Linked DNA regions of Arabidopsis thaliana. The protein of the gene in region 1 interacts with the protein of each later gene in a pairwise test. Each region holds a gene or a part of one and is shown in the gene's direction. Other genes may lie near its edges.

Evidence for each region.
Region 2: the proteins of AT2G36340 (region 1) and SRS5 interact in a two-hybrid assay, tested with the Arabidopsis thaliana proteins (one large-scale study listed by BioGRID).
Region 3: the proteins of AT2G36340 (region 1) and ZFN3 interact in a two-hybrid assay, tested with the Arabidopsis thaliana proteins (one large-scale study listed by BioGRID).

Annotation. Positions count from the first base shown.
Region 1 is NC_003071.7:15,230,565-15,241,794, forward strand, and holds AT2G36340 (DNA-binding storekeeper protein-related transcriptional regulator), read left to right. Parts: upstream 1-4,922; 5' UTR 4,923-5,293; coding exon 5,294-5,512; intron 5,513-5,601; coding exon 5,602-5,889; intron 5,890-5,976; coding exon 5,977-6,114; intron 6,115-6,238; coding exon 6,239-6,346; intron 6,347-6,433; coding exon 6,434-6,925; 3' UTR 6,926-7,340; downstream 7,341-11,230. Other genes in the region: AT2G36325 (GDSL-like Lipase/Acylhydrolase superfamily protein), read left to right, coding at 845-902, 1,040-1,267, 1,626-1,906, 2,031-2,331, 2,458-2,660; AT2G36330 (Uncharacterized protein family (UPF0497)), read left to right, coding at 3,056-3,576, 3,973-4,108, 4,540-4,734; AT2G36350 (Protein kinase superfamily protein), read left to right, coding at 8,339-10,323, 10,436-11,230. UniProt on the Arabidopsis thaliana protein: Probable transcription factor. Involved in stress responses. Plays a repressive role in cell expansion by counteracting the positive role of CPR5 in this process, but does not regulate cell proliferation or endoreduplication.
Region 2 is NC_003070.9:28,348,489-28,359,319, reverse strand, and holds SRS5 (SHI-related sequence 5), read left to right. Parts: upstream 1-5,770; 5' UTR 5,771-6,140; coding exon 6,141-6,819; intron 6,820-7,179; coding exon 7,180-7,541; 3' UTR 7,542-7,798; downstream 7,799-10,831. Other genes in the region: AT1G75530 (Forkhead-associated (FHA) domain-containing protein), read right to left, coding at 1-11; AT1G75510 (Transcription initiation factor IIF, beta subunit), read left to right, coding at 10,691-10,831. UniProt on the Arabidopsis thaliana protein: Transcription activator that binds DNA on 5'-ACTCTAC-3' and promotes auxin homeostasis-regulating gene expression (e.g. YUC genes), as well as genes affecting stamen development, cell expansion and timing of flowering.
Region 3 is NC_003076.8:5,399,169-5,410,014, forward strand, and holds ZFN3 (zinc finger nuclease 3), read left to right. Parts: upstream 1-3,900; 5' UTR 3,901-4,268; coding exon 4,269-4,326; exon of another isoform or gene 4,327-4,424; coding exon 4,425-4,585; intron 4,586-4,709; coding exon 4,710-4,772; intron 4,773-4,861; coding exon 4,862-4,981; intron 4,982-5,057; coding exon 5,058-5,525; coding exon of another isoform or gene 5,526-5,534; exon of another isoform or gene 5,535-5,608; coding exon 5,609-5,866; 3' UTR 5,867-6,005; downstream 6,006-10,846. Other genes in the region: PIN5 (Auxin efflux carrier family protein), read left to right, coding at 1,567-2,228, 2,737-2,822, 2,916-3,073, 3,228-3,304, 3,386-3,458; AT5G16550 (voltage-dependent L-type calcium channel subunit), read left to right, coding at 6,358-6,711, 6,969-7,206, 7,316-7,473; KAN (Homeodomain-like superfamily protein), read right to left, coding at 8,197-8,298, 8,398-8,506, 9,061-9,208, 10,086-10,131.

The DNA of each region.
Region 1 (11,230 bases):
TTGAAATGTCTTTCATACATTTATGATCTATCAATGAATACAAATGAACTACTATTTTTCTCTTCAAATAATTATTCTCTTTCTGTTGACATTATGAAATTTAGAAGTTTTCACAATAATCAAAAGTAATATAAAACGTCGAAAATATATTTATCTTTATATGACCACTTGATGATGAAGACTCAAACCAACAAAAAACTAGTGTTTGTTTTATTTCCGTGGTCAAATGTAATAATATATTTCTGTGTGTATTAGGTGATATTTAGAATTTTTGTATAATTTCCAAAACAAGAAAATACTTCAAATAAATTTCATATTAATCTTATCAAAACATATCTTTCATATTTTATATGACCATTATTGGATGAAGAAGAGTCAAACCAAATATGAACTAGAGTAGTAGAGTTCAATTTTTTTTTTTGACAACAATGTTTTCTTTTTCTGGTCAAATAAATAAACCTTTTTTGTTCATATTAAGGTGAAAGAAAATTAGAAATTATGAACAAATGTTTTAAAAATAATATAAATATCTAGATCATATTGCATATATTTCATTTACCAATGTTAAAGATTTGTGTATATATAGAAAAGAAATCTTCAACAAAATTAAACTGCTAAGAAATTATTAAAAAAATGTAAAAGAAGGAAAAATATCTAAAACATGAAGCCAGAGAAACGAAATAGGAGTATTAATTAATTAAAGAAACAAACTCAATTAATTAATTCAATGGAAACCGCTAAATTATTAACCGTTCGCCATAATTAAAATTTAAGAGACACACACCTTAAACCTCACCTATATATTTTCCATGCAAAAAAAAAAAAGACAACAATTTCAACCATCATGAACATTACTAAACTCACTCCTTGGTTTCTTTTCTCGTGTCTGATTCTTCTATCAGGTATTATTAGTCTATAACTTTCATTTTCTTCTTCTTGATCTGTTTAATGTATGTATCGTATATCAAATTACAGCAATTAATTTGTATTAAATCAGTTTCATCGATTAATTTCTTTTTCCTTTTGATATACGTGCTAGACTACATAAAGGTAAACAGCTCAATTTCTCCATCTAGCGAGCAAACACAAGAAGATGGCTTTTTTGGTTTCAAACCTACAAAGTTGTTTGTGTTCGGAGACTCGTATGCAGACACTGGAAACACACCTTTCCTGATCGTTCCCTCGTGGAGGTTTCCCAATGGAATCACTTTCCCGGGAATACCTACCGGGCGGTTTAGTGATGGTCGTGTTTCCACTGATTATCTCGGTACGTTTGAACTATAATGTTTTGTTTGGTAATCTGTCACAATATCTGAGTCTGTAAGATTTATAATATTGTAAACAGATTGCAAAGCTCAGTGAAAAACTCTTAGATTAGATATGTCTTAGCTGTACATTTGCATTGCATCTCTTATATAATGAAACGCAAGTCAATAAATTTTGTTCATTATAATTTGTTTTAAATGTTGACCATATAAGTATTTAGTTTAACGTTTTCACTCTCTCAAAATGCAAGATATCTCTAGTTTAACGTAAATCGGTTGCCAACAGTAATTATACCCTATATATAGAAAACATATATTATGCAATAAATCTTATAGTTTGACTTATATTGTAACATGTAGCGAAGTATATTGGAGTTAGAACGCCGATCACATACAAATGGGGGAAATACGGACGACCGAGACTAGCTGTGAAAAGAGGAATGAATTTCGCATATGGTGGAGCCGGCGCGTTTGAGACAATGTTCAAATTAGTTCCTACCGCTAGTGTGCAGATTGATTCCTTTGAACAACTCCTCATGAGAAACGTTTATTCACCGGCCGATCTCAACTCTTCCGTCGCTTTCTTTAGCATCATCGGCAATGACTACCTTACTTACGACAGACGTAATGGTTCTGAAGAGGTACAATATACCTTTTCTTTTCCCACTAGGGTTGATCAAAATTGATTACTGGTTGACCATTTTTGATCCATATATTATATAAGTTAACATTTTCGATTTCTTTTGAAAATATAAAATCTGGCAGGGTCGTTCAGCACTCACAAGGAAAGTAGTGAAACAGATTTTGTTGGATGTGAAGCGAATTAAGGATTTAGGAGTAAGAAAGGTGTTAGTGGCTTTATCACCACCGCAGAAATGTTTGCCGAAGCTTGTCACTCCTAAAGGCTGCGACACCAACGACACCTCGACGTACCTCCACAACAGTCTTCTCCGCAAAGGACTGATAAAACTAAACGATAAGGAGATTAACAATAATGATAAAAGTTTCATGACGTTAGATCTCTACAATGCCTTTGTGACCATATTCAAGAACAAAGGAGTTTCAGGTACGTAAGATATATACCAACACTGTATATGACCAAACATAACCGATCACGTCTTTGATAGATTAAACAGAAATACATATACCTAAATAGATGGGATATATAATATAAATGTTTAAATTTGGGCAGGAGTTTCGACATTTCCGGATCCGTTTAAGGCATGTTGTGCAACAAAACGAGGTACCTTTTGTGGAGATAGAAGCTTGAGTGGTAAAAAGTTGTACACTCTTTGCGATGATCCAAAATCATTCTTCTTTTGGGACAATGTTCATATCAGTGATCAAGGATGGCGTTCTGTTTTTTCTCTTCTTCTTCCTGATTCACAGTTTTAAATCAACTAGATCAATATGCAATAATTCTCCATTCTAATGATATATGATGATTATCAATTGTCTTCATAACAATGCATACAAAGATTATTTCAATACCCACTTAAATAATAATTATTAGCTAGAGACTCTAGTCTAGAGTCAAAACCAAGGGCCACAAAGAACAAATCAAAGTTTTAGGTGCGAATTGTCAAAACTAAAATAGTGGGGCATTATACGAAAGAACCAAGAATACAGGGAGAAGTAGACAAAGAATCTTGCAAAGTCTTCTTTCTGTGTTTGATTCTCATCAAAGACTTCACTTTTGTTCTTTGTCGCTTCAATTCAACGCTTATTCCTAAATTCGATTTTGCGTTGTCAAATTCCTTAAATTTCGTTACAAAGGTTTGATATTTCCGATGAGATCTCCAGCAAAGACGATGCCGTCGATGTCACCTTCTTCAGTTTCCACGGAGAAATCTCCACCTCCGTCAGATACTTCAATGGCTATAGTAGCTTTCGATAACTCCACTACTCACTTCTCTTCTTCTCCATCGCCGCCACATTCTCTTGATCATTCCAGTGAATCGGAGAAGGAAGATGCGAAAAGTAAACCCGAGAGTAGAAGAAACAAGAATCCTGGAAAGGTTGAGGAAACTCCATCTCCGATTGTGGTGGTTCATAATCACAATCGCTCTGTGAAAGAAGTGGTTCCGACGAGAAAGAGTGCGAGAGTTGGTTCTGGGAGAAGTAGTGGCCAACGATCTGGAGCTGTTTCGGCTATTTTGAGAAGGTCTAGGAGAGAAGAGGTGGTAAAGTTTTCAGCTTTAGGGTTTCGGTTGAGTGAGGTTGTGTTGGCTTTGATATCTTTCTCAATTATGGCTGCTGATAAAACTAAAGGTTGGAGTGGTGATTCTTTCGATCGTTACAAGGAGTACAGGTAATTATTTGTTGTGTTTGTGCTTATTTCTTCGCAGATAGTGATGTTTCTTGAATTTAGGTTCAGGGTTTATTTTAGGGTTTAGGGTTTTATCAGTATCACTAGTGTTGGTTTTTTGATAAGAAATTTGGATTACTTTAGTTTTAGTACATGTGAATTGTCTTTAACACTTGCGTGGTCCAAGTCTATGTTTTGGTTGAACTTGGTGAAGTCCTTAAAAGAAGTAAAGTTTGTTCCTTTTGACATTGATTTTGATTTGTTGGATCGTAAGAATTCATTTGCAGTTTCCATTTTGTTGTTTTGGTCAAACATTTGAAGTCAGTTTAGTATGATTTGATTTTTGATTTTGAGACTAAACTGATTTATCTATGTGTCATCTTCTGATATCTGTGACAGGTTTTGCCTGTCTGTGAACGTGGTTGCTTTTGTATATTCTAGTTTTCAAGCATGTGACTTAGCGTACCATCTTGTCAAAGAGAAGCATTTGATCAGCCACCACCTTCGACCTCTGTTTGAGTTCATTATAGATCAGGCAAGTCATTAACACTTATGCTGTACTCTCGATGGTATTCCTTTGTTACTTTCGTTCTTGTATGAAGTATGATCTACGTGGTTGCATCTAGGTGATGAGAAAAACTTGGCTATAGATAATTCCTGATACTTTGACTTGCACCATCTGCTGGTATTTACCCTGTCTCCTGTGAATCAAAGAACAACACTTTGTGGTTAAAGTCCAATATTGTTACTCTTTTTCTTTATGCTTTAGCTTATAGCATATGTGGAAAGGGATTTATCTTATAGGTCGGAAAACATGGTGAAAGTGACTGTTATACTTGTTTGACCAAACTACTCCCTTCATTACATAATTGAAATCTCTTTCGTCCCCTGCAAAACATTTCAAAAGCATGTGTAAAAACAGATGGAATTATGAATAAGAAAGGTTTGTTTTGTTTGTGCAATCAGGTACTTGCATATCTGCTTATGTCTGCCTCAACAGCAGCAGTCACTCGCGTTGATGATTGGGTTTCAAACTGGGGAAAAGACGAGTTCACAGAGATGGCAAGTGCCTCGATTGCTATGTCCTTCCTGGCCTTCCTTGCCTTTGCTTTCAGTTCCCTCATTTCAGGCTATAACCTATTTAACCAAGGCTCTCTCTGATCCTCCCACCTTTTTGTATAGGTCCACACTCCTTGTGTGATGTATAATAAAAATGATCAATATATCTTAGCATTGTAATTATTATACTATTTTTGTAGCCTATATAAAGGTTTCCAAAAACTATGAGGTTAATAAGAGAGGCATATCCTGTTGTCAAAAGGGTCTTTATAGCCAACTAAATAAAGACTCTGACAGAGCAAAAGGCAACAACTTTTCAGCTCTTGAGCCATATGAGTGTCCTCGATTGTAAATGAGACCTCAGACTTATCCATTGTGCATCTTGAACCCTGAAGAAGGAAGAAGAAACCATCTTGCACAAGCCCAATGTTTAAAAATGGAAAAGGGTATTTTAGTCATTTACGTTTTCGACACTCGGACTTCCTAGTTCCTACGCCTGGAGAATATCAATAGCCGCCAAAGGATTGATCGTGCTTTTGCTTCGTATCGTCTCTGGGTTTTTAAATAGAGAGACTCGAGAGACTCTGTTTGACAATAGGGTTTTGAGCTTTCTGAGAGTTTTATATAACTTGACAAAGTTTTGATCTTTCATCACCGATCAATGGTTGGTACGAAGAGAGTTGCTGATTCCATCGACACCAACTCGGATGACACACTCACGAGGAACCGTGAGGTTGAAGTTGAGGCGATGCTCAGTAGGAGAAAGCAACTAAGGACAACAACGACGAGGACAACAACGACGAGGACAACACCATTGAGCTTGTCTTCCTCTGCTTCAAAGATGAACTGGTCTAAAAACGATGAGCTTGTCATTCTCGGGGTTAGTTAGTAAATTCTTTGCAGCTTCTCTATATTCTTCTTTATCCTCTTCTAACTTTTTTTACTCTATTTTGTGTGTGTGTGTAAAAGGGTATTGTGGACTATGAGAATGAAACGAAATTGAGCTATAGATCTGACTGGGATGCCTTGTACCGTTATATCAAAGATTGTGTAGAAGCAAAGTTTTCGAAGATTCAGCTCATCAATAAGGTCAAGAACATGAAGAGAAAGTTTACATACAATCAGGGGAGATCTAACCATGGGGAACAACTTTCTTTTACTAATACTGATGATGATGAAATCTTCAAATTGTCATTGATCATATGGGACAAGAATGAATCAGAGTATGTTTCTAATGAGAATATAGACCAAGCTAAGGTGAGTGTCTTTGTTCTGTTTTTCAACAATCTCTTAGACTACTAATGTGCAATGAATTAATGATCTTGTTTTCTTGATTTGCATAAGGATGTTCCTTCTGGTGAGCCAGAGACTAATGATGTGCCTTGTGAGGAGCAAGACGATAGGGATGTGCCTTGTGAGGAGCAAGAGCGAGCGAATATCGAGATTGATAATGGTGTGAGAGAGAAATTGGACCAAGCCAAGGTGAGTGTGTTAGTTCTGTTTTTTCTACCAATCTCCTTGTTACCATCTTAAAACATGATGTAAAAAATTGTGTTACTAATGATGTGCAATGAATTAATGATCTTGTTTTCTTGTTTTGAATAAGGATGTTCCTTGTGTGGAGCAAGAGAGTGAGGATGTGCCTTGTGTGGAGCAAGAGCGGGTGAGTATAGAGATTGATAATGGTGAGAAAGAGAAATTGGACCAAACCATGGTGAGTGTGTTTGTTCTGTTTCTACCGATCTTCTTATTACCACCTCAAAACATGATTTATTGATCTTGGTTTCTTGTTTTGAGTAAGGATTGTGAGGAGCAAGAGAATACGGATGTGCTTTGTGAGGAGAAAGGCGATAAGGATGTACCTTGTGAGGAGCAAGAGAATAAGGATGTGCCTTGTGAGGAGCAAGAGCGGGTGAGTATCGAGATTGATAATGGTGAGGAAGAGATGAGTAGCGAAGAAGATGGTGTGGATGAGGTAGGTGTTATGGAGGACACACTTGATTCTGGGATATCGTTTCAAGGTTTAGGTAAAAATGGTGTGAAAGACAAGAGTGAAGAAGATGATGTGGTTGAGTTGGGTGTTCTCCAGGAGATATTTAAGGAGGATACATTTTTTCAAAGTTTAGGTAGATATCAACAAAAATTGCTGCTTCAGAATTTGGAAAACGTTGGAGTTGAAAGAAGAAAAGAGCTCATCAACGAATGGAAGGCATTGTTTGTTGATGAGCAGCGATTGTGTGTCAAGAAACTAACTTTCGCCGCAAAGCTTGCAAACTTAGGAGTTTCTCCTTGATTCAATGAAGAAAAATCTCTGCTTTTGGAATGATCTCATTTTTTTTTGGTTGTGTCATATTGATAAGAAAAAACATGATGTATCCACGATCCGTTCTTGTTCTAGAGCCAGGTAACTGAGGTAAGTAACAGTTAGAGCTAACCATAGCAGATTCTCCTTTTTTTAGTGTTGTGTTTGTTTCGACTCTTCCTTTTGGGTTGGGCTTCGATAACGATTGTTCAGGCCCACTAACATTCTTTTCTTATTGTGCGTCTGTCTCTTTCGAGAAAAAGACACAAGCACTTAAAGCCAAGATTCGCATTTTGCCACATGCCACTAATTTCACCTTGTGTTAGATATTATTTTTGTACTACACACTCAACGAAGACCATAGATCAACTCAAAATATTTATTACACAACAATTATCGGAGAAGAGATTGATGTGAAATGTAATGAAGACGAAAAGAAAATAAAAAAAGAAACGACGAATTTGGACGTAATTTTCAGCCAAAACATATGCTTTGGGTCCCACACTTTCACATTTCAACTTTATCATCACACCGAAACACTAAACACCAAAATCCCCGACAAATTTAAAGAAAATTTTTCCATTTTTTTTTTTTACTCTATCTCTGTGAGAGATTCTCTTCAAGCTCAGGCCTTTAGGCTTTAGGTTTCTTTTGGGAGTCTTCTTGAGCTCTGTAATCACTCTCTAGAAGCTTATTTTGCCTCCTAATGTTATTAGGTACGTCTTTGTATCTGTACTTGCTTCTGCATTTTTCGATATTTGTTTCTTTTGATGAGATTTGGGGACTCTTCCTTCAGAAGGATTTGAAGATTTTGACATCTTCCATTAAAAGTTGAATCTTTACTTAAGCTAGTGTTCTTAGCATTCTGTTTATGTTAGCTTCATGAGATCTGGGATCTCGAGGCTGCTTTTTTTTTTTGCTTTGATTTCACATTTAATGGGTTTTGATTACATTTTCATTAGGTGAAGTGAGTTGAACTTGGCTTGTGGTTTTGATGAATTTCTTTCTATTAAAAGTTTTGGTTTCCCTACCAAAAAAATGTCTTCTTTTTGTTAATTAAAGTCTAAAAGTAGCTAATCTCTATCTGTACTTGTGTAGGGTTCATCATTTGAGTCTATAACTATAATGACTTTCACTGTTCATTTCCTTTTTAAATCTCTTGTTGTTTCCCTTTCCTTACTTTGTTCATCATTTCTCCTTCCCTTTACTCAATAGACACTGCTCTTCCTTTGGATTATTGCTCTGTGAGTTATTTAAAATAAGCCATAAGGTCTCTTCTTATGATTGTTGCAGGGTGTTGTACTGGAATTATTAGGATGAACCAAGGAAGATGAGTCTCTCGGTCTTTCAAAAACCAAGTCTTGTAATGAGGAGCTGTCCACTGTTGTAAAGTAAGTCATTAAGATGGAATCCTTTGCAGGTTCTTGTGAAATTGTTGAGGAGAAGGATGCGGTAAGGTTAGCCAAACATTCTAGCAGATATTGTATGTCACCTTTGGGATCAAGTAAAGATATGGAGCAGCGTCCTGCATTGAAGTCAGGGTACCAAGGTTCTATGGAGTATGACATTGATCAGCTTTTCCAGTCTATAACTATAAAACCATCACCTAGAAGAGTGATGGGCTCTTCTTTCCATCATCTTGAGACGAGCGCAAGTGCTGGTACGAGCAGGAGCACAAGCCCTTCAAATAAAGGCGCTATGAAAAAGCCCTTTCCCATGGGAACCCCTCGATCACCAAGAGTTGGTCCCTCTGATTCAATATCTCTGAAGCAGGCTCTGAGAGATCTTTGCATCTCCAAGGCATCAGAAATGGCTTCCCAGAAACGTTTATCAAAATCTGCAGCTGCATCTCCGAGGGTTTCTGAAGCAGACAGGATAAAGACTCTTTACAGACAAGTTTTGAATGAATCTGCTGGCAAGCCTGGGCTTCCTGTGGACAAGGGTAAAAGCTTGGTTGAAATATCTTTGACGCCGGTAGTCGATATACCCAGCTCCTCCCAGAGTGTACCTCAGCGGTATGATGTCCTTGAGACAGAGCCATCTAACTTCATTTCTGAACCATCTCAGGCTGAAATCCTTCTCCACGTACTTGGAAATGGGTCGGGAATAAAGACAGTGGGATATGGAATGCTGGAGACTGTATCACTGTGTAAATCCAACAAATCTGGATCTTGTCTCAGTTCTGGCAGTGGAGATTATGAGATAGAGATAGATGAAAATCATACATCTCCTCCTCATATGGTCATTGAAGATCAATTAGTGGAAATCGACAAACATGTTACCTCGCTGCCTTCTTGTTCTGGCAGCAAAGTTGATACTGAAGAGCTAGACAAGAGCATCGTCTCATCAGCTAGAGTGAAAAGTGAGCCAACAGCTTTGAGCTCAGGGTTAAAAGGAAAGTTGGATAACTTTCCTGGTTCAGGAACAGAGAAGAGCAAACTGGTAAGCAAGGTGACAAGAAATATCCCACGTCCCAAACCGCGGCCGAAGAAGAAGATATTGCTTAAAAAGAAGCTAAAAATCGTTGTAAATTCTGCTACAAAAATGGTTGAGGAAGTCGATACTTCCTTAGAGCCTAGTGCAAGTCAACTTCTGTGCCAGAAGTGCCACTGTGCGGTAAAGAGCACCAGCACTGAAAACCACCCGCCCTCGAATACTAGTCATACTACTGATAAAAATGTCAGTATAGAAGCAGATCAAGAATCACTCGCAAGCCCGCGTCTCATTCGCATTGTGAAGTGTAATAAAGAGGCCAGCAAGGGTTCCTCGGATTCTTGTGAGGTTAGTGATAGCGGTGAAGCTGTCATTGTCATGAAACAAGAAGTCTCTCCAAGCAATTATAGTGGAAAAGGTGATGCAGATGAACAGATAAGAGCGAATCCAACTTCCAGTGAAAAATTTGATTTCTCGTTGAGCTCAAAGAATAGCCTAGGGGACTATAGCAGCAGCACAAGCATGAGTGAGGAGAGCAATCTGAGCAGGTTTAGCTGTGGCAATAAACCTCACATGTCTATGGATGTGAGATGGGAAGCAGTTAAGCATGTAAAGTTGCAGTATGGCTCTTTAGGACTGCGACATTTCAACCTTTTGAAAAAGCTTGGTTGTGGAGATATTGGAACTGTCTATCTTGCTGAGCTGGTTGGTACAAACTGCCTGTTTGCCATCAAGGTCATGGACAACGAGTTCTTGGCCCGAAGGAAAAAGACACCAAGAGCACAGGCAGAACGGGCAATCCTTAAAATGTTGGACCATCCTTTTCTGCCTACCTTGTATGCGCAATTTACTTCAGATAATTTATCGTGTCTGGTGATGGAGTATTGTCCTGGTGGTGATCTTCATGTCCTAAGGCAGAAACAGCTCAGCAGGTGTTTCTCCGAACCCGCAACTAGGTAAGATCACATTTCACATTGTTGTTATGAATTTGTAATGCTCACAAAGTCTTTGTTGGTTAGAAAATTCAGTGGTAATAATATACAGTAAAATTGATGATATTGTTGACAGGTTCTATGTAGCAGAAATCCTCCTTGCGCTGGAGTACTTACACATGCTTGGTGTTATATACCGAGATTTGAAACCAGAGAACATTCTAGTCCGAGAAGATGGTCACATCATGCTTACAGATTTTGACCTCTCACTCAGATGTGCGGTGAACCCGACTCTTCTCAGATCAACTTCTCCACCCGAGAAAGATCCCGCAAGGATGTCCGGTCCATACAGCACATCGAATTGCATACAACCTCTATGTATTGAACCATCATGTCGGGTCCCATGTTTCAGCCCTAGGCTCTTATCAACCCAAGCAAGAAACCAAAAACCAAGAAAACCGAAAAGGCCTGATCTTTTGACACAGCAGTTCAGATCATTGCCTCAGCTTGTGGCTGAACCAACCGAAGCAAGATCAAATTCGTTTGTGGGAACGCACGAGTACTTGGCCCCGGAGATCATTAAAGGAGAAGGACATGGTGCTGCAGTAGACTGGTGGACATTTGGGGTCCTTCTCTATGAGCTTTTGTACGGGAAGACACCTTTCAAAGGTTATGACAATGAGGAGACACTGTCCAATGTTGTATACCAGAACCTCAAGTTTCCTGATAGCCCGCTCGTGAGCTTCCAGGCAAAGGAGTTGATCAGAAGGCTGCTGGTGAAGGATCCAGAGAGTCGTCTTGGGTCAGAAAAAGGAGCTGCAGAGATCAAAAGACATCCTTTCTTTGAAGGATTGAATTGGGCTCTCATCCGCTGCGCCATACCACCTGAGCTGCCAGATATCTATGACAATGGTGCCACGGAAGCGACTTC
Region 2 (10,831 bases), on another chromosome or scaffold:
TGAAACGCCATCAGAGACGCAGATTTAAGCTTTTCACCGATTAACGAAAGAAGAAGCTTCTATTAAGTCGAGTAAATAAAATAGATTTAGAAAGGAAATATTTACCAGAGAATCGGCCACAGAATCTTTACTTCTCTAAAATTAGCGTTTTTTTAGCCAATTAAAATCTCTTAGTCTTCTCCTATTACGGTTTAATTAAGTCAAATTTCTTTTGAAAGTTAATGGGCTTCAATCTTGGTCCATTATGATATTTATTACCACTGACGCACAAAATTGGGCTGTCGGAGGCCGAGTCCGTAATGGATTTCAAACAATTATTGTATGTACTATTGATGCAAAATAATAATTTAGTGTTTAAGAACAACTACTAATTAAATTTCTATAGATCAAATATGCCAACCCACTTATTTATTCTGAAACTAGAGTGTAGTGCTAAAGATTCTTGAATAGTGTACCACTAATAATAAAAGCTATCGCAAGTTTAGAAAATAAACGTATTTATACATGTGAGCTATATAATATGAAGATATATAAATAAGAATGGTGGTGGTCACGTGACAAGGAGTCTTTGTAACCTTCGTGGAGACCACAACGCTGTCTTTTCTTCGGCCGGTCTTCTCCTTAAAAGGCATATATAGGCCTATTATATTATACGTTTATATATACATACTTAAATGCTTATTGAACATTAGTATTTATATATACACATTTGATACTTAGCTAGAGCTTAATGTGAAGCATGTGCATGGATGTGAGTTCGGACCCCACGGGCTTTATGAGGCCCATAAAGCTAATGGAGGGGGACCACGTGGCAAGGGGCTAGTGCCTACAAGTGGAGGGATCCTAAGAAAGTAAAGTACGTATAAGTTTGATCTCGTGATCGTACGTACTGTTTCTACTATTGGCATGCAGTGTTCGTCGCCTAGGGTTTCAGAATTAGACTTCCTTATTATACCTAACTTGTCATGTATTCCACCACAGTTACAATCACTGAATCACATCACCTTATGTTTTTTTTGTTTTTTTTGTTTTTTTTATTGTTTCATACACATATACGATGGGGAAAATCAAATAAAGTTGGTGAATGCACGCGATTTCAATATGTAACGTGTTCGTAGTCGGAGGATAGTACAACCATTGTAAATCCCATAAATTAGTATGTCCAATGTATTGATCGCGTGTATATTGTATAATGCGTTTATATTATATTGGATAAAGTTTATGCTCAACTCAACGCAGTAAATCGAATATCTTAGCTTTAGGAAGACACTTTGCGTCACTTCCTTCCTTTTTCTTCAACAAGACAAAACCCGTTTCTCGCGGAAAGAGCATAGTTATAACTTAGCTTTAAGCAAAATGATGGTCACAAAGGCATAATTGGGAATTTATCATTTTTCCTAATTTTTAGTAATCCCCTCTATATATTATTTCTTCTTTAAGAAGTATTTTTGATTACTAAAAACGTGTTGACGTGGCACAACCATGTTAATTTTCAGACCTTAAAAAACATGACAATGATTTGTGAAATTACAATATTTTTATAAGAAAACAACAAAATTGTAAATAAAAAGCATACATTTGGTTTGAGTTAAATATCGTCTCTAAGTTTAAAAAGAACATTTTTTTCTTTTGGTCAAACAACTTTAAACGAACATTTTATCAATCACTTGTATTTAGGTTTAAGTATAAATCCTCAAATTTTGATCACAGTGACTTTGCATCGGTTGATTTTTATTACCCTCACACTAAAAATGAATTGTTACAAATTTTGTCTGCTTGAATCGTTTTCGACAAATTTTATTGGTATTGAATCCAAACATAAGTTAAAAAGCCTGGAACTTAAAAGAATTTTAAACACAGCGTATATATAATAGATATAATCATTGAGAAGATTGTCGGGAAAATACTGTTAGTGAGGAGAATGATTGACTACCATATAAAAAGATACTAGTACTATATAGGAGAGAGAGAGAGAGGAGATGCAGCGAGAAGAAAGGTGAGCACAAGGCTCGAGAGTGAAAGACAACAACTAAATAATAATTGGACTATTGGAGCTAATCCTTATTCTTGATTTTTCCCCTACGATGACCTTTGCTCCTCACTCTCTGTCTGACTTGTGGGAGGTGACAAAATCTAGTAATAGAAAGAATCATAATTATAACAACCGAGAACACCTCGGCTAAAAAAGGAAAAAAAAATAGATCACCTCTGATAACCATGCCAATGAACACCAATGCCCACAATCTGATATTAAATAGTATTTCGTCATTGTGATCTATGGCTGAATAATGCTGGGCATTGCTTCGGCATTAGCTAAACCTTTATTGGCTTTACTGTGAATTGAAGCTAACTCTCGGAAAAATATACACATTTTTATAAATTAAAAAAGAAACATTAGATGTATCCTTTAAAATGGAATGATAGTGTTTGTGGTGTTTTTAGAAAAAAAATAAGAGTGTTGGATGACAATGTTAATCATTTGAACATGTTGGATAACTTCATTGCCTACGCATGACTACAATAGCATTTTTTGTTGTTTGTAAATTGAGTTAAAATAACATAAATTAAGATAATAAGATATAATTGGGAAACATGCATCTATATCAAACGTGAATTAGCTATGCCTGTCTCCTTAGAGAAATATCAACCGCCAAAAAGTAAATCAGTGGTAGCTATTAACCCCGTCAAAATGTCAAAAAATGAAAAGGAAAAAAAACTTAATAATGTTAGCCAAAGGAAAACTAAAGTAAAGAACAAAGACAAAAGGGACATTAGCCAACTAGTTTAATCATGAAGATCCCGATTCATCAAAGTTAGGAGTGTTAAGTAATTACATTTACAAATAAAGACAAAATAGTGATTTAGTCAACAAGAAATTCTAAAATACAAAAGACTCATGCCTCGGGCCCTTAAATAAGATCAAGTCCATTTTTTGGGTGGGTAACTAATACGTACGATCAACCTTTCTATAGATACACGCATATATAATTGTTGTTTACTAAAGCTTAACAAATTTAAGTCGTATTATGTTAAGAAAATTCTCCTTTTTTCTAGACACAGATGTTTGGGATGGGATTGGGCTTTCTTTTCTCTCTCTCTCTTTTTTTTTTTTTTCTTTTTTTCCTTTTTTTGATTGAACAGATTTTTGTTTTTGTTTTTATTTTTTGTCCTACAAACGCATTTCAATAATGATTTTTCTTTGACATCTAATATTGTCTGAAAACTATAAATTGTTTTCTTTTTGATATTTTTACGTATTGTTTCCGATGCATATCGTTTTTGATAACCATATTTTATGGAGCGAACCCAAATTAATGGTTGATGATATAGGTGATTGGCAAAGTGAACACAAAAACATGTAAAGACTTTGAAACAAATTGAATACTTTAAATTTAAATTCACATTTGAGTGATTTGAGAGAGTTAAAAATCTCTAAGAACTATTCCAAGAAAACTCACATTGCCTTCATTTTGTACGTTTGTTTCTCTAAATCCAATAAGTATGCCTTTTTTATAAAGCGACAAAAATACTTCACAGCCAAGATTTTAAAGTACTTGCTTGGTTCATAAAGAAGCATTTGCTCACCAAAAACAATTAAATACGCAAATCCTTACAACATGCATAACTCATTTTTTTTTTTTTTTTGTCAATCGCACATCTCATCTTCAAGGATTAGCTAGTAATATAGGTAAGAGACTTTATCTTGAGAAATTGGTTGTGTATTAATTGGCTCGTCGATACCGAAGATTTGATCAAATCTAGCTATGAGAATTGGAGAAGTAAAATCTTACTCTCGTGACCTGCTTATTATGAATATGCATGAGAAGTCGTCAACGATTGGCAATACAAGGTGGAATAGACTCGTAAATTTTGAAATAAATATAATTCACAAGTTAAATTTGAGATCATGCGATGGCAAAAATTAGGATATGAAAATTGGTAATCAGTTTTGAAGTAATGCGAGTGTTATTAAGAGTTTAAGGTATGTGGGTTGGTCGTCGATTACAAATATGAAATATCTTTAAATATTTTTCAAACTTTGAATAGACCATATACTTATATACTGTACATGCACAACATTTAGGATAAAGAAAAGGCGAACCATCAGAGATATAAACTTTAAAATTAAATACCAAATGCGCCTAATTATGATTATAAAATGCAAATTGCGCCGCTAATTCCCGCGATTCCACGTGATCAAAGAAACTAGAGTGGGTCTGCCTGCTTCGGCTCTAATGAGGGTACAAGGTATGACTGAATAAGTAAATCCTTTAGTGATTTAAATTTTAAATTCGCAGATTTATGTACGACCAATTACGTGATAGTATAAAATATTTAATTAGTTGGTATAATTAATAGTAGCTAGTTTAAGATAAACCACTAACGGTTTTTATGTACTCTTAACTATTCTCATGTTTATGCAATTATGTGTGTGTACATATTTATAGTTTTAATTTGTAAAACGAGCAAAATAAGCTAAATAACCCTCATATCCCGTTTAGTTATATATTTTTCCAAAATTTGAAACTATATAGTACTGTATTAACGTGAAAGCTAAGTTTTCTACTTCGATTGGAATAAGCTAAAAACCTTTAAAAAAAAAAAAAAAAAAAAAAAAAAAAAAAAGCTAAAAACCTGAATACAGAAATAATACATTATATTCATGTATTAGTTTGGGTAAAGATGGAAGACGATCACATCCCTTCGTCGGCTAATAATAATGACTCGTGACCTAGAACTAGACTAGGGATCGCTGTCCAGCAAAAATCCCTTAAAACAAACCACATAGTTTTTTTTTTGTTTTTTTTTCACACACCACATAGTTTTCTTATAGTTCATATTCAAAAAGTGTTTAAGTTTCTACGATCGCCCTCTTCATGTCGATTCAATGTTAATACCACGTATTTCTGATTAGACGAATAAATAACAAAATTATCAAAAAAGGAAAAATTAACGCACGAAGGCGTCGTTGAAAAAGTTATGTCATTGAAAGTCTAATCGCCGTGATTAAGCGGTAAACCTCACGATGAGACCGTCCGTGACGATAAAATGTCAAAGGAATGTGACGTTAGACTATCCTTTTCATTTTTTCTCAGATTTCATTTTTTTTTTCCTTTTTCTTTATTTCAGACTTTTATCTTTGCCTTTTTTGTTTTCTCAAACTTCCCATATATAATTTCATCACAAAATAGATAAACCGAAGTAAAAAGATAAACGGTGGGGAGGGTTTTGCGGGGGAGGGACGAGTGGAGAAAAACTCCCTGTTCTAACACGTGGCACTCTATTCACCATTGATAAAAATTAACACTATGAGCTTAAAAAGCGAGCTATTTTCTATTTTCTAGTTTAGTTTTAAAAGAAACAACATTTTCGCTAAGAAATTTCTTTTAATTAACACATCTTAAATTTTTAAAATCTACTAAAACGAAAACGAGTCATTATTAAATTCGATACGTTGGTTCGGCGTAATATATTTTATACTCCTTCATGCATATTGTTTTGAATCCTAAAACCATCGATTAGATATATAATTTGCATCTGTGGACAAAAAAATGACTTCCTACATAGTAAAGAAAACAACGCGTCATTTAATTTTTATCATCTTACATGTATTAATTAGATTGTAATAAGGGATTATGAAAATACCTATGAAAAATGTAGAGAATAAGCATATATACATATTAATGGAATGGAATGATTACTCTAACAAAATTACTTAAAAAATGTCACCTATCTATTTATCCATATTCCTTTTTTTTTCTTTTTTTTTCAACAATAGTTTGAGTGATATTTATGTGATGGGGATTCACTCAAACTGGAAGATAACTGTAGTGAAGTGCCCAAAGCAAAAGATCTTCATGGGACTCTCTATGTCTTAAAAACTTTTTTTCTCTCTCTCTCTCTCTTAATCCACCGAGTAAATCCAGCAAACTTCCACTTTCAGAGATCAAACTTGAGTTATCTTAAGTGATGAAGAAAGACTAATTCCATGGCGGCGTTTGCAGTTTCTTAAGCTTCCTCATCATCTACCGTCAATCTTTATAGCAAAGAAAAGGAAATCAAATCAAGATTTACCCTTTTCTTTGATTTCTCTTTGTGGTGTGTTGGGTGTGTGATGTTGATTACCACTGGGGAAAGAAATGGCAGGGTTCTTCTATCTAGGAGGGAGAGACAACAACAGCAACAACAACAAGCAAGATCATCATCAAGTAGACAAGGATCATCATCATCAAGACAAGAGCAATTATCTTTATCTTTACAAAGACGAGATCTATAATAACAACAAGGGTTTCGAGATTTGGCCTCCGCAATACTTCCAACAACAAGAACATCAACAACAACAACAACAGCAACAACATGCCTCAGCTCCTGCAAACTTCTACTCATTTGGAATGGTTCCTAGCGGAAGCAGCAGCAACAACAACAATAACCGTAGCCGGAGTTTATACTTCAACGTAGTCTCCGATCATGAGCCGGGAGGGTTCACGGTGACGAGACAAGGAGGTATGAATTGTCAAGATTGTGGAAATCAAGCTAAGAAAGATTGTCCTCATATGAGATGTAGAACTTGTTGTAAAAGCCGAGGCTTTCATTGTCAAACTCACGTTAAGAGCACTTGGGTTCCTGCTGCTAAACGTCGTGAGCGTTTAGCCCAACTCGCTTCCTTGCAGCACCACTCAGCCTCCAGCCGTGAAACGCAAAACGCCAAACGCCTTCGAGAAGCTAGTGGTGGTGATAATAATGATGATAAAGACCATAGTGGTGGTGGTGGATCGGCTCTTGCTAATACCCGTGTGGTGAATGCTAATTCTAATTCAGGTAAAATTCTTGATGATATTGAATTAGCTTTCAAGATTGATTAAATTTTCATGAAAAAGTGTCAAAGTTTTAATTATGAATGTTTGTGGAGAAGTACAACATCATTTGCGTGTGAATGAGGATGTCCGCCGGATATTGCTGCTTTATTTATACAAGTTACTGTTCCTTAGTAAACCTGACGACATAAAAGGATCTAACCAAGATCGATTTCATGTAAAAACAATGCAATAAAGATTCGTTTTTGTAGATATGAAATGGGAGCTACGCTTTATAATCAACAACATGTTATACTAAAAGGGGCTAAAAACAAATCTCATGTTTATATTTTGGTGATCTTATAATCATTAATAAAAAAATTAGGGTTGGAGGTGAGTCAACACTTACCACCGGAGGTTAACTCACCGGCGATATTCCGGTGCGTTAGAGTGAGCTCAATAGAAGAGGATGAAGATGATCAAGCATATGCTTACCAAACGGCTGTGAACATTGGAGGCCATATCTTCAAAGGCATTCTCTATGACCAAGGACCAGAACATCAAGATAATCATCACCTTAACCTACTTGCTTCCACTGCAACCACCACCAATGTGGAGGAGACCGCCACTAAGACTGTCACCGGTAACAATAATAATGGATTAATGCTTGATCCTTCTTCGCTTTACCCAGCTCAACTCAACTCCTTCATCGCGGGTACGCCATTCTTCACACCTCCGAGGTCTTGATCAGATTCTGATATCAGTTATTGATTATTGTTAATCTTTAAACGTTATAATAATAAGAGGATTTCTTTTGTTTTTGTTTTTGTTTTCGTTTATCTATTTTTGAAACTTCGTGCAATTTGGAAAAAACACCCTTACCTAGGTTGTTACTTAGTGGTGATTAACATGCATATTGTACGTACTTTTAAGAAAAGAAGATAGTGTTCATGTTTCAAAGATTAATCTTTTGCTTTATTTTTGTTCATTAGGATCGATCTCTGTGTTGCAATTTAAATGTGGTTTAGTTATAGTCTTATGATATTAATTAATATATAATATAACCCTCTTTTTATTGATTTACGACATATATAATTATATATAGTACTTTTCAAGGTCAAATCAAAAATACTTATTTTAGAAAAGAAAGAATAATAAAAATCTTTTGGTTTGATATTGAAATAGCTTTCTGGTTGGTGTTGAGCTCCAAGCTACCTTTTTCCCCGTTTATCCGTTTGCTTGCCGGATCTAAACATGACTTAACTAGGTTTCGTGTTCCACTGATCAAAGATTTGAAAAAAAACATATACTTAGTAAACTTCAAGCAATTTTTATATTACCCAATTGAATTTCTCCAGAGTGAAAGATGTTAAAATTAGTTCTCAATTGTAATATATATATACCCAACAACTGAGAAAAGATGGAAAAAGTTTAGTTAAAAACTGGTCCTGGGCGGCTTTAAATTATATTTATGCACTTAAATTTAGCTTGTTTATATCTTTCTCTGGTTTGAGTCATAGTTGAATAATCCAAAAATCTACATAAATATTTTGAAAAAGACCTCTAGTCTCATGGACAGGTTTTTACTTAGATAATATCGTGTCATTCCATCTAGATTCAACCCCTGTCTACAATAATATAGGAGGTTAACGTTAGTTATGTGGAGAACGTCAGATTGTGAGTAAATACGTAACATGTGAAATGTTGGCGTAGATGAATGTAAACGGATGGTAATATAAAGTATTTATATCAAACTACTTCCCTGCAGAATTATCATATTTTTAGCTATTTAATTATTACTTGCATGGATCATGGATGTGACTATCAGTCGTCTGTAGCTAATCCCCATTTACTAATTCTGTCTTACAGAATAAAAACTGGTCGATGCAGTATATATATATATACAAATGACTGATTAAGACATATGATGAAACTAAAATTGATTTCGTTTTTCTAATGAGATGATATAATAATTTGTTTTATCTATGTGTGAACTGATACTGTTAACAATAATAATGATTAGCTAGTACTATTAACAGTACTGTTATAGATTGCTTGATTTAGGACAAGTATAAATGACAGAGGAGATAGATGGAAGTTTCTCAAAAACTGTAGAGTGTCTGACTCACGGCATGTGATCTCTTCTTCAGTCTCTCTCGATCAAAATTATTATAAAAATTAAATGTAGTTGATCCAAAAACTCATGATCATATCTCCTCTGATATTTTACTTAATCTATCTAACTTCTTGTTTCGCAAAAACCCTACAGCCTCATGGTATTAAACCTATATATGGGTTTTTTTTGGAACTATATAGAACTTCTCTCTAGCCATAACTTATTATAACTAATGTGAATTATATATTTGATATTTTTTTTCTTCTTTATTACGTACCGATGACGTGCATGTGGTTCCAATGGTAAGTACTCAGTCATCCTCACAGGTCAAATGTTTGGCATTGTCATTAATTGCCATTAAAATACACGGTAGGTTAAGTTTGAAATAATAGTTTTTTCTGAGATAGTTAGCAAGTAAATTGTTAATTAAATATGCTGGAGAAAGGGAAATTAAATTGTTGAGAAGCATGAAGATCGTCCAAGACACATCATTTGTGAAATTGTAAAGTCTATGGTCAAAGTGAAAGACTAATTCCGAACAAAGATTTTCCTCAACATCTGTTATACTTATACCTAACTCGATTATGATTGATATGACAGTTTCTTTTCTTTTACCTCAATTTCCTTTACAAAAATCATTAAATCTTCCAACGCGTCATTAGATAGTGACCATGTGAACGGAATTCGTAAATGGGGATAAATAACAGTTTTTCACAAATCACAACCCAACTTCAGTTTTTCCCTGAGATGATTTGGCTCCACGTAAATCTTTCTCTGTCCATTTGAGATGATTTTTATTCAAAAGATTCATGGCTAGTTCGAACATTTTTCGAAGTATACCTCTGAAAATAGTTATTAATATATGATGTTACTATTTGATGCTCTGTATTGAAAAAATAAAAATCAAATCTAGATAATGTGTTACGTACTGATAATTAAGATATACATACACAACAACGTACACTGAAGCTAACTGAGTAAATCTTTTATTTATAAGAAGTGTAGAGCTAAAAGTTAAAACTATATCCAACAAACATAAAATCTAAATACAACGGCCATAAACCTAGCTACAACTACAGTTACAGCTATAACCAAAAGGAGAAAAGATGAGAGATTGGTCCCCCTTTGTACATTGAAGCAACTGAGTGAAACTAGTGGTTAGGGTTTTCTCATGGATTTAGTTAAGTTCTTTCTAAGAATTAATTCATTGTCGTTGTCCTAATCGCCAATCCATTTCCATCCTCGGTATTTTGTTTCCTTTTTTGTCAACAACAACCTTGGTGTTCTCTTTACTCTTTATCAGCACAATAGTGGTCCAAAAGTCCAAACAATATGTATGTGATCCATTTAAATTTAATACATTTATACATGCACCATACATCCATGATCCATGCATGCTCTACATGTGTTTATGTATGCAGTATGGACATACATATACCCCTATTAATCATGTCATCTATACTTTAGAAAATAAAACAATTCAAAATGTGGCAACAAGAAATATATGTTTTTGCGAATAACAAACGGCCCATTAAAGAAACTGGATTCTTACAATAATATGGGCCTTGGCCTATTTGTTTTAACGCCCAAGTCGGTCCACGTATATAGTAACGGGTCGGGTCATATGAGATGGGATTCCTTTTTTTTCACCTCCGCTTCAAAGTAAGAAGACTTAGGTTTTAAGTCAAAACGAAATCGGAAGATCAGACAGAGCTCAAGAGAAGTAAAGAAACTGCGACAAGAGAAAGAAGATTGACTTTGGAGAAGAGAGAGAGTAACGATGGAAGATATTCATAATCTCGATATAGAGAAAAGTGATAGATCGATTTGGTTGATGAAGTGTCCTGTAGTTGTAGACAAGGCATGGCACAAGATAGCAGCTTCGTCGTCTTCTTCTTTTGCTTCCTCGGATTCTCCTCCC
Region 3 (10,846 bases), on another chromosome or scaffold:
AGTCCGACTATATATATTTGTTTGCTTATGTTTTTCTATTTGTTCCAAATCTTTGGTAAAGATAGGTGTTTCCATAAAATGTTATTATCAAATCAAATGATAAATAAATGCTTTCCAGATCATTTTATGCCTCTGCATGATTCTCTAGTAATTAGATCAAATCAATTTTCTCATCATGAATATGTGTAATAGAAAAGACTTTGTGAATGGACAATATATATGGTTACAAAACAAAAATATACCATAGAATTAAAAAGTGCTAATATGATGATATTGCACCTAGCAATATGTGTTGTTGTGATTATATTAGAGTCCAGAAGGCAAATAATAAATTTGTTGTCTAGCAAGAAAGGACAAGAGCACGAGGTACAAATTTTTCTGTAAACTTTTGTAGTTCTTGAATGGCTTCCTCAATCCTCACGATGATAGATTTTTCGCTAGCTCGTAGTATAATATGGTTCTTTGATATTTTAACAAAGAAGAAAGACATGGCCATATGATTTTTTATCGAACGAAACATAAAAAACAACGTAAAACATGGTTTAAGATAAAAGTAAGTAAGTTATTTGTAGACTTCTCTATCTATCTATATATTAACATATTCTAAAACCCATGACATGTTATTTCTTAAACCATGAATATATTGAAACATTCAAATCATCACTAGGTATAAGTAAGTGAAATTCATTTTCTTATAAGAAATCTCTCTTTGTCGGTTATGAAATTGGTTGCTATCGCCAGGTCGTAGGGCACAAATACCCATTTCGGCATATATACAAACTATTCCATGCACTTTACTTATATTACATGCACTAGCATAGTTCTGCTCCCATTTTATGAAAGTGGTTAATAAATATAAATATTAAGATTAAGAAAAAAACGATTAAGCAAATATTTCGAATAAATTATTGAAAATATATTATTTGGTTAGTCTCATGTGTTGTGGCGACGAGTTACGACAGCCAAAAACATATATTGGTCGAGACGATCTTCTAGTTATGGTGCTAAAGCTGCAACCTCATTCTTTATTCTGCGACATTACCATTAATTAATATAGTCAAATATTGAAAGAAATGTTTACGTCATACACAAACACTACACTCACTATTTACAGGAAACAATTGGAATAGAATCATATGCCACGGCACGGTCTGGTCAATTATATTGATAACGATAACTCTCTTGTTTCTCAATTAAACTAATGGCTAAAAATATGAGGTTGATTTTAATTTTTTTATCTAAATATTTAGACTCAAATTTCAATTGTATCTATTCTATAGGAATTTAGCCAAATTATTTATAAATATTCGTAATCATATTCCGAAGAAAAAAATATTATTGTTTAATTTATATCTAAACTTTACTTTTGTTTGAATATTACTCATGGATATCTCATTACCTATCTTTTTTCTACAACAAATAAAACAATTAAAAATTTATCTATAAATATGAACATGTTGGTTTCTCTATCGTAACACATTTACTATCTACGAACGAATTTAGAAGCTTTGTTTTCTTTCCTTTCGTTTGCTACTACTGCAACATTTCTATTTTTCTGATAAAACCATGATAAATTGTGGAGATGTTTACAAGGTAATCGAAGCAATGGTTCCACTCTATGTAGCCTTAATCTTAGGCTATGGCTCTGTGAAATGGTGGCACATCTTCACGCGTGATCAATGTGATGCTATAAACCGTCTCGTTTGCTATTTCACCCTGCCGCTCTTCACCATTGAGTTCACGGCCCATGTCGACCCGTTCAACATGAATTACCGGTTCATCGCGGCCGATGTCCTCTCTAAGGTCATCATAGTCACGGTCTTAGCGTTGTGGGCCAAATATAGCAACAAAGGAAGCTATTGTTGGTCCATTACTAGTTTCTCTCTATGCACTCTTACTAACTCTCTTGTCGTTGGTGTGCCATTGGCTAAGGCAATGTACGGACAACAGGCTGTTGATCTGGTGGTTCAATCCTCGGTATTTCAAGCCATCGTGTGGCTCACACTCTTGTTGTTTGTCTTAGAGTTTAGAAAAGCCGGATTTAGTAGTAATAATATCAGCGACGTACAAGTAGACAACATCAATATCGAAAGTGGAAAAAGAGAAACTGTGGTTGTGGGAGAGAAGTCGTTCCTTGAGGTCATGTCCCTCGTTTGGTTGAAGCTTGCAACGAATCCAAATTGCTATTCTTGCATCCTTGGGATCGCATGGGCTTTTATTTCTAACAGGTAAAAATGAATCTTTAATTAAACTTTATATTGGTACCTATAAGATGTTTAACAAAGTGTTAATTAGTATGTGTGATCAGGGACTCAGGAGACTACATTAATTCCACCCCTTACTCCGAGGCAACCGTTAAAATTGCCTAAAAATATCTATAGTTTGACGTTTAAACCATCTAAATTATTACTTTTCTGTGTAGCGCCTGATGATCTATAGTTAAAATTTTGACAGAAATATAGGTCACGATTGTTTCTTTGCATTTGCGTTTATATTTCCATGTGACAAATGACTAGGACATTTTTAACATGGTAACATAATTTGCAAACGTGACATGTACATGCAAATAAACTAATCATGATTTTAATCTGAATATTAGAGTCTTTGACCAAATTTCTATTTTATTTGTTTTAGTGTGAATTTTGGGTTTAGGGTTTTGATTAGTGTTTTGTATACTCTTGGCTAACAAATAAAGACTTAAGTCTAATAATTGATGGAAATTAATTGGAAATATAGATGGCATCTGGAGCTGCCGGGCATATTAGAGGGTTCGATTCTTATAATGTCAAAAGCAGGAACAGGAACGGCCATGTTCAATATGGGTACGTTTATTTATGTCCATGCAAGTATCTTTCTATACGTAAAGATTACGTATCAGTATTGAGATAACAGTGAATACATGCATATATACGCAGGAATATTCATGGCACTTCAAGAAAAGTTGATAGTATGTGGAACAAGCTTGACTGTGATGGGAATGGTATTGAAGTTTATTGCCGGACCGGCGGCCATGGCCATCGGCTCTATTGTCCTTGGCCTCCACGGTGATGTCCTCCGCGTAGCCATCATTCAGGTCATAAATTCTACTTTATCCTTTTGTACCCTAATTCTACTGAAGTTTGTATATAAAAAAAAAAGTAGATCATTTTCCATTCATTCATCCACTAAGATACTAACTTTATATTTTTCAGTTTAATATATCATTAATATTTATATGAAATTTACAGGCTGCTTTGCCACAATCGATTACTTCGTTCATTTTTGCTAAGGAATATGGATTACATGCAGATGTTCTAAGCACAGCGTAAGTCCAAATTTTAAAAATTCAGTCTATTTAAGAAGAAAATGGTAATATGAAATTAAATTAAAATTTTGATAAATGTAGGGTGATATTTGGGATGTTGGTCTCTCTACCTGTGCTCGTCGCCTACTACGCAGCTCTGGAGTTTATTCATTGATTAAACTAATAAATTCGATTATATCATCAATATTACCCTTTGTTCATCTTTCACAAGTTTTTTTTTTTGTTATCTCTTTTACACTTTCCTCCTAAAGGAGATTTTGAAGTATATTCGAGATATGAAAACCATTAACTGAATGAATTAACCTAGTTTATGCTTAATTTTATACTTTCTTAAGCTCTCTTTATTTTCGTAGTATGCATAATTTAGTATTTTGTTCACATATACGTATCAAGAAAAGATAAAAACTCTATAAATGAAAATACATCATGTTCGGATCTAAAATTGTTTTAATACGTACACTAAATATTATAAGCCCTTTTTTTGTTAACAAAAAAAAAAAAAGAATAAATGAAACGAAATTCAGGTTAGAGATCAAATAAAATCTTGTTATTATTTGATTCATGATCATACATACTAACCAAATCAGGATTTATGAAATAAATTATTCTTTCTCCTCAACCGAATCAATATGAAGATAAAAGGGGTAATTTAGTCTTTTCGAATTCGTTTTTCTTACCGAATCTCTTTAGTTTTTTTTCTTTCTTTTGTGTGGAGGAGAGAAGAGAACGCAACACTTTCTTCCCAATCTCTCTCTGCTTTCTCTCTCTAGACGTGATCTCTAATTCTCTAATGTCTTCCTGCATTGCCATTTCCTCTAACCCCTCCACAATCGGAGGAAGACGATTCCTGGGAGCAAGAGAAACGATGGGACTTCCCATCGGAAAATCTCTTAGAGTGAGAGAATTATGGTGTGTTCTTAATGCTTAATAATCACCGACACAGCCATTGTTCTTCATCATCTCCATGGATTTTGATTCCATTTCTCGGGAAAGCACTTTTCTTTCCCCATTGCTTAACCAAAGTACCATCCTTTATTCCCTCTCTGATGTTCTGATTCAATCTTAAAAACCTCAGCTTGAATTTTTGTTGTGGGGTTTTGGTTGGGTTTGTGAATTTTAGATGCAATGTGGCAAATGAACTTGGGATCAGATGATACAATGGGTGTTGATGGGTCTTATCCGGAACGTCACGGAGAGCCAGATTGTGCTTATTATATAAGGACTGGACTTTGTAGGTTTGGTTCAACTTGCCGATTCAATCATCCTCACGACCGGAAACTGGTACTGACTCTGTTTCTGTGTTTGTTCTTTCCTCTGTATCTTGTTGACTCAAAGTTTGTAGCTTTGAGGGTCTGTGTGTGTGTGTGATTACAAGCTGATGAATAGTCTCGTATCCAATTTCTAGGTTATAGCAACTGCAAGGATTAAAGGAGAATACCCTGAAAGAATTGGTCAGCCTGAATGTGAGGTAGCTCTGTTTCGAATTACTATCATAGTAATGTCTTCTAGTTATCACATTGTCTCAAAGCTTCTATTTTTGTTGTTGTGTCTGTGCAGTTTTATCTGAAGACAGGGACCTGCAAATTCGGAGTGACTTGCAAGTTTCATCATCCTAGGAACAAAGCTGGTATTGATGGAAGTGTATCAGTTAATGTCTTAAGCTATCCTCTACGTCCGGTATGTATACATTTCAACTTTCTAATCTCACCACTGCTTTGTAAAATTTTGCCTCTCTCATGAGTTCTGTTTGCAGAACGAAGATGATTGCTCTTACTTTTTGAGAATTGGACAATGTAAATTTGGGGGAACTTGTAAATTCAATCACCCTCAGACTCAATCAACCAACTTGATGGTTTCTGTTCGTGGCTCTCCGGTTTACTCTGCTCTTCAATCTCTAACTGGTCAACCGTCTTATTCTTGGTCGAGAACATCTTTTGTTGCAAACCCTCCTCGTTTGCAAGATCCTTCTGGTTTCGCTTCAGGATCTCAAGGAGGTCTCTTCTCATCCGGGTTTCATTCGGGAAATTCTGTTCCGCTCGGGTTCTATGCATTACCTAGAGAGAATGTATTCCCGGAAAGACCAGGCCAACCTGAATGCCAATTCTACATGAAGACAGGAGATTGCAAATTTGGAACAGTCTGCAAATTTCATCATCCTAGAGACAGGCAAACCCCTCCTCCTGATTGTGTCTTAAGCTCGGTTGGCCTTCCTTTACGCCCGGTAAGCTAATAAAAGACTTCAGATTCTTTCCTTTATAGTCTCATTATGTGGTTTGGTAAATTCTTGTTGCTGGTTTGAAACAGGGAGAACCACTGTGCGTGTTCTATTCTCGGTATGGGATCTGCAAGTTTGGTCCAAGCTGTAAATTTGATCACCCGATGCGAGTCTTCACTTACAACAACAATACTGCATCTCCTTCTCCTTCATCATCTCTGCATCAAGAGACTGCAATCACCACAGAGCTCAGGAATCTCCTAGTCTCTTCTTCTGTGGAAGCAAAACCCACATCACTCCCTGAAACAACCTCTGCTAAAGACACCATTGTTGATGCACAGCACTGAAAACCCTGTGTTTTGTCTATCTTGAAACAATATGTAACATTTGTTTTGCTTTATCTTGTAAGCATTTATGTACAGAGATGATATCTGATCTAATCTGATTCGCCTTTTGTTGTAATTTTCTATTGGCAACAGTTTGTGCATTAAAAAAAAAAACAGTTTGGTCTTAAACGGGCCTTCAAAAAACGTCTAACAAGCCCAATAATAAAACCATAATGAAAAGAAGAAGAAAAAAGAATTAACCACTCGCATGTGTAACGCGTTGAATACACACGCTCGTTGTATCTATCTATCTACTCCTCCGGTTAACGGGGGTTTAAAGCCACGTCGGTGCTACACATGTCCCTGATTTCTCCTTTAACATAAAACTAAACAGCTGTTTTGTCCGCAATCATTATCTATTACTAATAAAAAATCTCAACTTTTGTTCCTTACTCTTATTACTTCCTAAATCCGATCGAAACAACTGTTGGGTTAGTTTCTAATTTCCAAGAATGGCGCAAGATCACGACGAGACGGAGAATAAAACCTTTGCCGACGTTGTCGGTGGCGATGATGTCGGCGAAATTGTCAACGGAGGAACAAAGAATGGCTATCGTAAACCGGACTCTGTGGAGAAGGAAGATGATGAGGATTTGAAGAGTCTCTATTCCTTGATTTGTCTCACGATCGGTTCGATTCTGTTTCCAGATTCGAAAACCGGTGATGCGTCTTCGTTTCTTGAACGTGTAAGAAACTCCGTCGCTGAAAATGGGCCTAAGCTTCGAGAAGCTTCTGAAAGAACAGGACGCGAGATTCTTCTCTGGACTCGTAGAGGCAGCTCGCTTCGTGCTCTGCTTGTCATCACTGTAAGTAGAATGATTGAACCTAATTAGAGACTGAATTTCATTTTCAATCTAGCCTTCCATTATCTTCAATTCGATTTCCTCAAGTAAATTAACGTATTGTGCCCTAAATCGTCTTGGTTCTGTAACTCTTTACCATTGATGAAAAGTTTGGTACTTTATTGAAAAGTTTAGTGCTTTATTGAACCCATTTGAGCCAAATTTCGTGGGTGTCTGAGACTATATGTTGATTAGTTATTATCTTGTTATTGTTGTTGCAGATGGGAACAATAGTTCTTTTGACAACAATGGCTTTGGTTGTATTCACACTCTTCTTTGTAGCTGCAACAGCCAATGCTATCATAATCTCTCTTCTGATTTCACTTGCTGTTGCTGGTGGCTTCTTGGCACTCTTCTTTCTCTGCTTGACTGGTGTTTACATTGGAGCCTTATCCGTTGCTGCATTCGTCATCTCTACCGCTACAGTTTCTGCTGTCGTTTCTGTCTTAATAGCTTCAGGTTGGTTATATACTCTGCTCTGATTCTGTTTTGGAATCTTGTAATGAGTGACACTCCAAGTTACTTCCTATATGTATTGAAGAATGAAATGAATTTGGTATTGGATCAGGTTGGATTGGGTTTTTCTATGCGGTGTGGTTGGGAACAAGAGGAAGCCTACGCTTGGCTAAGCAATCGGTTTCAGTGGTGGGATCAGCCATTTCAGGTAACACTATCAGTCGTCATCAACACCAAGACCGGGAGGTAAACATCGAATCAACCAACTGAGAATCCGTCCTTACCGCGTTTGTAAATAAACCCCGACTTTTGGTTGTTAATGGAAGCTTGATATAAATATGATCTATGGAGTTTGTTGTGAAGAAGCAGAGAAAGAATGATAAGAATATTTCAAAATGCAACTTGAAACATTTTGTGATCAATGTCTACGGATTTTTGGATCTATGTATGCATACATTGTGTGTTTTATGTACTTAAGAAAGAATAATGATCAGTATCCATATGAAATCTCAACTCAGATCTCTCCCTCTCTCTACATTTCGGCTGCAAAAAAAAAAAAAAAAACTTGAAACCCTCTAGCCAACCAAGAGGCTTTCAAAAAAATATCCAAACTTTCACCACATTTTGATGATCTTCCAATTATATAACTTATGATCACACCACCAGATCAACCTCAAAAAACTAAAAACCCGAAAACCCAAAAACAAAAACTCATACATTGATCATCCACTTTATAATCAAATCATCAATGGAACTTGAGAAGAGGAACCTCCAAATTTCTTCATTTTGGTAGTGATATTCTCTCTCTCTGTGCAAAAATCAACACTCTTGAGCAGCTTGGCTCTCTACGTGTTCTCCTTCTTTTACGCTGAGAATTTCATCGTCACAAAGATATATACTGCATACATGTTTCTGAGTATATATAGAGAGAGAAAGATGAAACAAAAAAATAAAAAATCCAATATATATAAAAATCCAAATTGATCAAGAAAGTCATTTCTCGTGCCAATCTGGTCTGCCTAATGTAAACTCCAAACTTGGATTTTCACAACTAAGATTTCCACACCTCTTTGCTTGATCATTCGACCTTTGCTCCTGCCAATTTTAACTTTATATTAGATTAAAGGACAAAAAAAACACTAAGAAAGGCAATATCTATCTATACAAATATGATTAGATGGGAATTATCAGAACCTGATTTTGAATGCTGGATCTTTGATAATGAGAGATCATTGATGTTGATGAAGTTCTGATCATTGTATCTATGTCGCTTGAGCAGTTATTACTTAATGGCCATGTCTCTCTATTTTATGATTTAAGAAAAGAAAGAAAACAAATTAAGGACAAATTGTATTTATTGATGTATAGATGCCCTAAAAATAAAATAAAAATCACTACACACAAATTGCGTTTTTTTGCAACTTGCTATATGACCACAATCTACATGTCATACTTATGAAGCAAAATTCGTTTATCCTAGTCTTCCTAGATGAATCTTAAGAACCCAAACCAAATTATAATTAAAAAAAAAAACTTGGTACATATAATTAAAGTTCATCAGCCATAAACCCTAACCAATTTCATCTCATTGTAACCAAAACCATCACTCAAATTTTTTCCCCTTAAACTGAACGAAAACAAACTTAAAATATCATCTAAAAACTATTTTTGTTAGAAGAAAATGGATAGATGTGGGATAAACCAAACAATTGTCGTATGAATTACTTGGTAGGAAGTAGGAACAATTAGGTGAGAGAACCCTAAACCCTATCTCAAATTTCGTCAATCTTATTCTTACCTAATGTTTATATATACTTATCGTGTGTATAATACATGTACGTATATACGTAAACGTACCGTGAAGAGTTACTCCAACGAGGTTGTGTGGAAGAAATGTCAGTTTCTTGATGAAGAGAAGTATCATCAGATTGTGCCCTTTGATCCGTCGATGATTGATGATGAACTTCGTTTCCATTTATGCCCATTTCTTCTTCTCCTGACCCATCTGAAATTTTATTTTAACTTTTTATCAAGTTTCGTTGTCTCAAATCAATCACTTATACCCTATAAGGAATCTCATTTAAAACTGAACGATTCTTGTAAGCTTTTTTGTAAAAGACAATGCAGTGAAGAAATTGTTTTTCTTAAAAAATAATTTCAGCATTTCGTGTTGACCAACCTAATATGTGTCTCAAAAAATAGTTTTACAGACTCGAAAATTGTGCCAAATAAACTTTTAATTGGTTAAAGAAAATCCATATGAAACAAGTGGTTTTTCTTTATTCTTAATTCATGAACTTTGCTTGGATATGAGTTTACACTTCACACGTTTTAAATTTAATCTTTTACTCGATTTTTTTTTCTTAGAGAACATCAATATTGGGGATATATGTTTGTTTGGTTTGCTTTGAACTTTGACCACTCAACTTTAGGGTTCAATCAAAGGAAGGATAAAAGCCTTGAGCTTGACCAATATCTTAGGGCTCGTTTTTTATTATTTTGGGGAAAGGGAATAGTAGAAATAGTAGAATCAAATAGTAAAAATAACAGAAATAATTTCACGTCATTATATCTCTACATACATACAAATATCGAATCACAGCTTCAAATTCTGATTGAGAACTAATTTCTTATAAATATTGTAGTCAAAAAAAGCTATAATAGTGATTATATTGGACCTCCATTTCTATAAAATTCTGGTGGAGAATCCTAAGCTTTATTGTATATCTGTCTTATGTTATTTTTTGGTGAATTGTATATCTTTCTTATTAAAAGCCAGTACCATTTCTTTAGCATATATAAAGCTGAAAAAAGCTATACTAAAGAAATGTGAATATGCATAACATTATATGTGTGTGTGTGTGTAAAGGAATCACACGTACCTGATGAAGCAGCAGGCTTGTTAGTGGTCTTAACAGTTCGATACATCTGCAAAAAAAAAAAAATTAAAGGCATGATGAGAGCTCTAAAACTAGAATAAACCATAAATCCAATTAAAGACACAGGAAAAAACCAAAATAAATATCGGACAAAAGATACTGATAAACTAAATAGATTTATTTTTGTATAATGTGATACAGAATTACAGATGACAAACTGGAGAGATATATGCAGACACATATGAACTTTATATTATTAAATAAATAATATATGTAGTACATATGTGTGGTTTTCTGGGTTTGTCTTGGAACTGATGATGTATATATAATTAATTATTTATGATTTTAAGACCACGAGGTTGATGTCTGAAAGAAGGTTGAGTAATAGAAAGATTGTATTATTATCATTGAGTAATGATGACTACTTTTGTCCCCTCTTCCTAATTTAAAAAAGAAAAAATGAATTATAATCCAAAATAACTTCTATCTATCATCTCAATTCTCCATTGTTTAATAATTCTCTGAAAGGTTTCAGTCACTTAAAGCTATAACTACTCTCTCTTTTTCTCTCTTTAAATTCATTCAACTGCTTCAATTTTCTTGGCAATTGTGCCATCTCTTCCAAAATATGACTAAACTTAAAGCAAAGACAAAACAAGAAAATAAAAGTAACACATCAGAATTGGAGCTCTATTCATTGCTCTGATGATATATACGTACACAAAAACCTTGTTTCTTGATTCAGCTGTTTTTGTGCAAAACGC